Danio rerio: one gene and its partner. The protein of the gene in region 2 interacts with the protein of the main gene of each other region in a pairwise test. Links are inferred from orthologs where the notes say so. Each region holds a gene or a part of one and is shown on either strand. Other genes may lie near its edges.

Region 1 (4,234 bases), on a different chromosome or scaffold from region 2:
CCTTGCAGTTGCAACAAGAGTGCTTCAAGAATGGCCATGTTTAAGGGTCTTTAACACTGATTAAATGTGCACTTTATTTTATTTTATTTTATTTTTACTGTTTTATTAGAGATTTTATTCTGCGATTTGAGATCAGTGTAAAAATGTCTTTAAATTATTAAAATGGTCTTCAAAGAACGATTCACATCCTGTATATGGTTATAATGGCCTCTTTAGAATCTACAAATGTTATAAAAAAAAAAAAAAAAAGTATACAGATTCTCTTTCTTATATTCGTTCAGTTTAGCTTAGTCTTAAAATCAGGTAACTCAAGGGTAAAATCAAGGTTTTTTTTCTTATGAAATTTTAACCTCACATTTAGTTGTTCAACTCCAGCTTAAAAATGTCTTTCAAAAAACTTAGGCTACTTAGAATTTAACAACAACAGAAACGGCTCCATATTTGACACTTAGCCAACTCAGAACACGATATGCTTAACTCTTATGACACCTTGTGGTTAAGAAATGTTACAACTCACAATCTATGGGAATCAAACCGCCTTTTATTTAGCTGGATGAGGAATATTATGCAGCGTGCGGCCACTTGTGGCTGTCTCAATCGCGTCAGTTTTTACCTATACAAAAACAGCCTAAAAGCCTACAAAACAGCCCGACGTGCTTCTGGATGTCGTAACATTGCATTTCTTAAAGCATTTTTATTGTAGCCTACTGCGGTAGTTATAAACACTGCTTTGTAATGTAGCTTATTTTACTAAACCACAATTTGTTAGCAATTGTAGTCAATCAAGTCTCACACATTTTTAAGAGCCCCCGACTTTTACAAACAGAGAAATTATTGCAAGCTAAAATCTTGATAAGCTTTATTAATCAAAACAATCTTTCATGTTTTTTTAGTACATTAGTTAGATAAGACATTAGTTAGAAGATCAAACATTCAGCCTCCTTAAAAACACCATTAAAAAAGTAATATTAAATCAAGGCAGATGTTAAGTGGAAAAAGTTCATAAAACTATAAATAAGGCATTTCAGTAGTTATCATAACAGTCATCTGTAACAACACTCCTGCTTTGTTATCAGAGAAACAAAACTGGCAAAACAAACAGCAAACATACCGTTTATGCATGATAATTTAAATACCTGGTGCTTAAAAACATTGTGCTTCAGTCATACTGCAATTACTGTGTTCAAACATGATTGTATTTCTTTATGTTTATGGCATAAAAAAATAGAAATCTAAAAAACTGGATCCTCAACCCAAAATGAGTGAACGGCCAACATAAAAATATCAAAAGAATATATTAAACTATAATCAGGAAATATATTAAATATAGAAAAGCACCCAATTTCATCCAATAATACAACCCATTAAAGTAACACCCGTTGGTAACACCTGCCACAAGTGCTACTATAAATATACACCATTTCAAACTGTGCAAAAGAAAAGGACCCTTCAATACCAGATTGTCATCCATTTTAGCTTTAAGAACTTTTAACTATATGACACAAAATTAGCAGGGAAGATCCCAACCTGCCCTTTTAGTTCACCTTCCCACCAGTCATACTGAGAGTCTGTTTTGGTGACAACGGTGATTCGGTCTCCAGCATTAAAGCTCAGATCTCCAGGCTGCTGGCCGGTGAATGGATGAACAGCCGTGACCACCAGAGCTCCACCTGATGCCTGATCTACAACACAGAGAGAAAAGAAAATGGGATGATTTGCTGGAAGAGCATTTAAAATTGCAAGTGATAATTTTACATAGTTAATGACAGTTAGGCTGTTAGTAAAATTATTAATGAATATATTTAAATAAGAATGTAAATTAAACAAAAATAATGCAATTAAAAAAATCTTTCAAAATATTTAGTGTATCTTGTTTTGCTTCATTTTAAGCTATTCACTGACTTTTTTTTAAAGTAGTTTTTCAGTAAAAATTGCAAGACAATAAGTAAAACATACTCAGATGTAAACTTAAGATTAAGAAATAAAACAAGATATAAATAAATGCATAAGTACGCTTTTAGAAGATACATTTACTGCAGCCTTTTTATATTATTAATTTAAAATTACAAAGTAAAACATACTTGTTCTAAGAATAAAAAAATGCACAACACATTGTACATACATTAACTACATGCTAAATTAATGAATTTGACTAATAAAAATACTAAAATATGACATGATTAAAAAAGTAAAAATAATAATTAAAAAACATCAGACATCATGAATTAAACAATATCTGTACATCAATTTAAGAGCACAAGGAATAAAGGAGAGTTCATGATGTTTTAGTTTTACTCCTGGGTATAGCAAATGTCTTAAGTCGCAGAAGATGGTAGGGTGACACTGGAGCCTTCAGCAGGAAATAATGCAGTGGTGATAAATTGTCATTGAGTATTTTAGTGGGGGTACGTATGGTGGCTTCTTCACAACTTTCACTCAGTGTTGGAAAAATGGAAGTACATTATCCAACAACATCACTTTTGGATCTACTTTAACTCCTCAGAGAAACCTTTAAGGAGTCAGCCCTAGATTGTACTGGCATACTCAAGTACACTTGCATTAGAACATCACAAGGAAGTCCTGCTTTTTTGGCTTTGAAAAAAATAGTACATTCTGTTACGTACCATGTATTTAACGTGGGCATCCCATGATAGGTCAGAAGATATTTGCACATCCAGCAATTTAAAAAGGTGGAAACTCGACTAATTGCTTGTCCTGGGATACCAGGAAATGGAGGGAAGAGAATGTTCTTTTCAGGGAAACTTCTTTTCTGACCATTATTACCACATCCACAGTCTTAGCTCCATTCATTAAGTTAAAAGTCTCTCCCCAACCCACTACGGAATCCAAGGCCTTCCAAGTAAGTCCAATTGAAGATCCCACTAGAAACTATGATCCAAACTGTTGATGCATACAGTATGACAAAAAGCAGAGGGGACAGAAACTGGGACTGAAAAAGAATCAGACACACAGGAGCCCCCTGTTCTGTTGTCAGATAACTTCTCACAATAAGCCAAAGAGTTTGGCTGACATAAAAGTAAGCTAAGGAACATAATAATTGACCATGATTGAATCTGAATCTGGCTATAGTCTGCTGGAAAACTAGGCTTAGCTTTTGTTTAGGAATGGCTTTGACTATAGTCTCCTTCCATTGTTTAGAACAGGGGTGCCCAAATATTTTCGTATGAAGAGTCAAAAACGAAATATCATTGAGAGCGATGGGCCAAGATAAACATACTTTACCAAACTATTTTTACATTAAAGTTGGCATGGGTAATTTTCCGAATTAATTTCTTAATATTAAAAAATAAATCGAAATCATTACTTTGAACTGTATTGACTAATGCACTAAATGCAGTATAACTTTTTTTTATTATAACTTATTGAAATAATAAAATTACCTGTTTAACACAGTGGAGTCATTGCTGAATACACTAGTCAAGCAGAATTTGCCTTGATTCGAGCACCAAAGTCTCTGCATTGTCCTCCATCAGTCGTACTACATTAACAATGTACATTAACTAAATCCGATTAATTTACATAATTTCAATTTAAACATTTAAATTCAGATAGGCTTTTTTGTAGCTTAACAATAAAACAATCAAATAATAGGTTGCATTAAATTTGAAATGATAATCTCTAAACCATTCTCAGACAGGATGGTGGGCTAAATCAAAAGTTACCATGGGCCAACTAGTTAGGGCATCTCTGGCTTAGAAAAAAAAAAAAAAAAACTTAAACTGTATGCATGTGTTGAAGATATTGCATAGCACAGGAGCCAACTCTTAAAAAGACTTTAGCACCCAGAGAGGTTTACCGTCAGTACCAGCAGTTTTGGCTGCCTTGACTTTGCGAAGTCTAATCTCAGAAGAGGCAAACTACAACTTGACAATTTAGATAAATTGGATGCCAATATGAATATGATTTCACACATAATATTTAAAATGATTTCCAAATGGTAATTCATAATTGTTAATAGGCAAACAAATGAATCAATTTAAATGGTTTTTCTTTTATTAAGAGAATAAATTGATTTAAAAATTGAAACCATTTAAATTGATCTGCATTTATTTTATATTTTAGATATCTATTTTAAATTAAATTTATGAAACAACGGTCTAATTAATTGCTTGCTCATTTGTAAGGAAGTTTGCTAAATGACTACACGTGAATTAATTGCAAGTGTTCAGGTGACATTACATTAAAATGACCATGTAGATATTGAGACATTAAC
Region 2 (4,360 bases):
GACTGACAGTGTGCCTGGAGCAATGCATTTATCAGCACTCTTGAAACAACGCTTAACCAACCAAATCAGAGGACCAGAACTAAAATTGAGTAATGAAATATTGTAAAGTCTGAACATGTTTATGAACACGGGACTTTCCTGGTCGAACAGTTTATTCAGCTAACATGTTGAAACTGGATCATCTTTTCATGACTTCATGAGTGAAGTATTTGAGGATATGAGTAGGTAAAAAGAGTTTTGGGTACACCTATGTTCATCAATAACCACATATGTCAAATGTGTTAAATGTCATTTTCTTTATTTGAACAACTAAAATATTGATATAAACTACTGTTCAAAGGTTTGGGGTCAGTAGGATTTGTAAATGTTTTAAATTAAGCTTCTCCTGCTCACCAAAGCTGCATTTATTTCATAAAAATTCAGTGAAAAGGTGTAAAATTGTGAAATGTTATTTCACTGTAAAATAACTGTTCAAATGTAGTTGATCATTTTACTTAATATTAATTAATGTAATTGTAATAAAAACAATAATGACTGAAGTAATAATTTTATTTGAAATTAAATACAATAAGAAAGCGTTTAATTTACTTTGATTTAATTTAGTAAATGCCGCCTTAATGAACAGTATATATATATATTTTTAAAAACATGAAAAAAACTGGCCCCAAACTTTTGACCGGTAGTGCAAATTAAACATATAAATGTAATAAAAATAATATTTTATGCTGCTATATAAAACCTGGAGAGAAGCCAGCAGGCAAAAGCAAAAATTTTAGTCCTCTAAATGTGAAATTTCACTGACACAGCAGCCACCTCTGCAAATAAAAGCCACTCATTTACTAGGTAAAGTGGGAGTTGATTTTTGTATGCTTTTAAGACAGTGAATTTACATCTAAATGAATCACTGTTCAATTAATTACTTTGTGCGAATTGATCAAAAATTCACTCTGATTATTACTTATCTAATAATGCAACATTGAGATAGGTTCAATTAAAAATCCCCATCATTAACATCAAGACTGACAGTCTGCCTGGAGCATTTATCAGCACTCTGGAAACTACACTTCACCAACCAAATCTGAGGACCAGAACTAAAATGAAAATGAGTAATGTAATATTGTATAATAAGTCTGAACATGTTTATGACCACGGGACTTTCCCGTTCACACATTTTATACAGCTAACATGTTGAAACTGGAGCATTTCTTCATGACTTCATGAGTGAAATATATGAGGATATGAGTAGGTGAAAAGGGTTTTGGATACACCTACATGCACACATCTATACCCACTGAAACCAATTTGATATTTTCCTCTATGAACAAGCATTAAAACTAAGCCCACTTTACAAAGCTGCAGACATATAAGAGAAAGTTTAAAATGTTTAATATGCTGACTGTCCAGACAAACACATGACACTGCACAGGTGCTATACTTTCAGACAGGCTGCGACAAGCACAACTGCTGCCTCATGTTTCCTCACTCAGAGTCATGTCACCTGTTCAGTGTCAATAGAAGAAAGCTACAACCTGCTGTTTTTTCTCCCACTCACAGCTGACTCAGCCATACATCTAGAAACTAATGCTGAGGGAGCAAGAGGAACTTTTCACCCTAATTCACTTTTTTACAGTTTGATAATGGTTTTTAACCAATTACAAGTGTTAAATGTTTACGAAATATATTAAAACATTAAGTATCAAAAATTGACTTTTTGTTAACCCGCTGAATCTTAAGATACTTATAAATGATTATTGATGCATCAAGCCATTATTTACCACTTTCTTTGACAGGTTTCTACTTATTCTTGGAAGCAACATCAATTTCTTGGAGATTGTATTTTTCTTTGTCTATTACTAAATATGGGTCTGCAGCATCAGTTAAAAATATTTTAAGTTATGTTTTTAACTTAAGTTATTTTTTTTAATTTCACACATGCAGGAACCCAAATGTCTGTATTTTTTGTTTATCATAGAATAAGAATAGGAGATGCAGTTTGCTGTCATAATGTTTCTGAAATTTGTGATAAAAACTTGCAAAAATCACTTTATACATTTTTTATTGTTAAAAATGAAGTGTTCAAGTCAATTATTTTTTTGTACCATTTAAAAATGATGAATAATAATTGCACTCCAGAAAGTCAAAAAGAGCAGGCTAATTACTGTTTTAGGCAGTGTTGGGTCAGTTCCTTAAAAAGTAAATAATTTCAAAAAGTAAATAATCTCAAAACATACAATACATTGTAAATAATTTCTTACATTGATTCTTTAATGTCAACAATGTACCGTTATCTTAACAATTATAACATTCCTTAGTTGAAAAATGGCATGATTCTGAAAAATAGGCTATATTTGAATAACAAAAATAGCCTAGTCAATAATTAGTTTCTCTAAACTGATTTACAGAGGAGTGCAGAATTTATTTGAAGTAGGATAACTGAGTACATTACACTGTGGTTAAACTGCATAAAATTATCCAAGTTATCTCTTTATTTAACTTTCAACGGACAAGTTATTTAATTACAGTAACTACAAGCAACAGAAAAATAATCCGTTACCGTACTCTACCTAAGCTACGTTTCAACTTTTCCATAGTAATTGCAACAACAACAATTGTCCTACCTGTTGAATCTCTTCTCCTCGTAACAGAAACATTTGAAAAATCTTCACTTCCATCACTACAACGGGCTTCAGCCATGAGGTATAACCGCACGTCTTTCTAATAATATTTAGACTTTTTTAACTTGAGGAAAAAAGCTATTTGAAAGATTTTGAAACAAACTCTGGCGGTGTGTTTTGTTTCAGCAAAAAGCCAGGAAGACTGTTAAACAGTCAAAGACTGATGAACGAAACCCTGCGGTTGGCGCGAGCATCATGACAAACAGAAGGGCGAGAGAGAGATCTGTGCACGCGCGTCTTTTACTGCTCAGCAGAGGGCGGAGAAGATTACATTGATTTTAAACCTTTCTGTGAAACATTAGACTACACAAAGAAATACGTAAAGAAAAAAAAGTTGTGATCCTTAGCTATTCAGAAGTGTCATTAAACAAGAAGTGAGTCCAGGCCAAACGAACTTTGTTTTATAATTTGAGCAGCCTGGAGAGTCAAATTAAAATAAACAACAACAGTTAACAATTATTCTTTTTAGCCATATTATTTATGCAAACTATTTATTTCAGTATTTTATTTTTATTTTGATGTCAACCCCAATTATATGAAATGTTGTATTCAAAATATCCATTTCATCAATTCACTGTTTCTGTCATTTACATTCTATCAGTTTTAAAATGAAGCATGCATAATATTCTGATTGTGAACAACTGCATGATTTCAAAAGGTTTATTTTATTTTTATGAATTGGCATAATATGCATCTATGTTTTTAAAATTTATTATAAAACGATCAGAATTTACATTAAGTTATAGGTCATTGCTAGAATATGTGCTAAAATAATAAATGTAGTATCACTCTTAATATATCATTCTTATTCACAATGCTGTAAAATATAATAAGGCCAAAGTGTTCTTTGGTATGGGTGTTTATTGTTTATCTTCTCAACTGCATTTTAACAAAATAGTTTTTACAGTTTTTGGCACACAAAAGTGTTCATGGAGCTTTTGAACACTGCCGTTGAACACCTGAAGTCAGTATAGGAATGTTTTGACAACCTTTTAAATATTCTGGACTATGAACTTCACTTGACCATTGTTGTCTATAGACATACAGTATATGTAGGGTGAGGGACGCTCTTAGATTTCATCTAAAATAGCCTGAAATAATTATCTTGTTTTCTGAAGATGAACAAAGGTCTCAGGGGAGTGGAATGATATGAGGGTGAGTAACAGTAATTATAATTTTCATTTTTGATGAACTAGTCTTTTAATGGCACATTGTGGGTAATGGGATAGTCACTTGGGCTACAAAGAAGTGTTTTAATTTTTTTTCTATGCACATAACAACTCAATGAATGTCCATTCTCTTTCATACTGCCACAGTGACTCAACATTGGAGTAAGGTTAAAAGCAGCAGTTACATCTTATGCAATACACATACAATACTGTCCAAAGTCTAATTCTTGGCCACTATATTCATTAACAAATTCAGTTTTTACGTCAGTTATTTTTATCTTTTGCAGTAGTTAGTCAGAAGTAAATAGCAATTTACATTTCCAAAACAATTTTTTCTACTCCTTTTAATAATCGAGTGACAGTTTTGATTGCTGATATCAGCCAATGCTCCACACAAAGATGTGATCTGCACCATCATCCAGTACACCTAGAAAAACATGAAGAAACAGAAAGAATCATGCTAAACTACATCAGTGTCAAAGTGCACATGTTTAATGTTAGAGCATAACTTAGCAT

What was found. The genes of interacting proteins can lie anywhere in the genome.
Region 1: the proteins of sh3d19 (region 2) and sh3yl1 interact in binary tests that used the Homo sapiens proteins (3 or more experiments, as listed by UniProt). The link is inferred for Danio rerio from reciprocal best matches to the Homo sapiens genes SH3D19 and SH3YL1.

The regions. Positions count from the first base shown.
Region 1 is NC_133192.1:32,057,935-32,062,168, forward strand, and holds the end of sh3yl1 (SH3 domain-containing YSC84-like protein 1), read right to left. Parts: intron 2,716-4,234; coding exon of another isoform or gene 2,625-2,715; intron 1,683-2,624; coding exon 1,489-1,682; 3' UTR 522-1,488; downstream 1-521.
Region 2 is NC_133176.1:26,057,604-26,061,963, forward strand, and holds the start of sh3d19 (SH3 domain-containing protein 19), read right to left. Parts: upstream 2,891-4,360; 5' UTR 2,695-2,890; coding exon 2,619-2,694; intron 1-2,618. UniProt on the Homo sapiens protein: May play a role in regulating A disintegrin and metalloproteases (ADAMs) in the signaling of EGFR-ligand shedding. May be involved in suppression of Ras-induced cellular transformation and Ras-mediated activation of ELK1.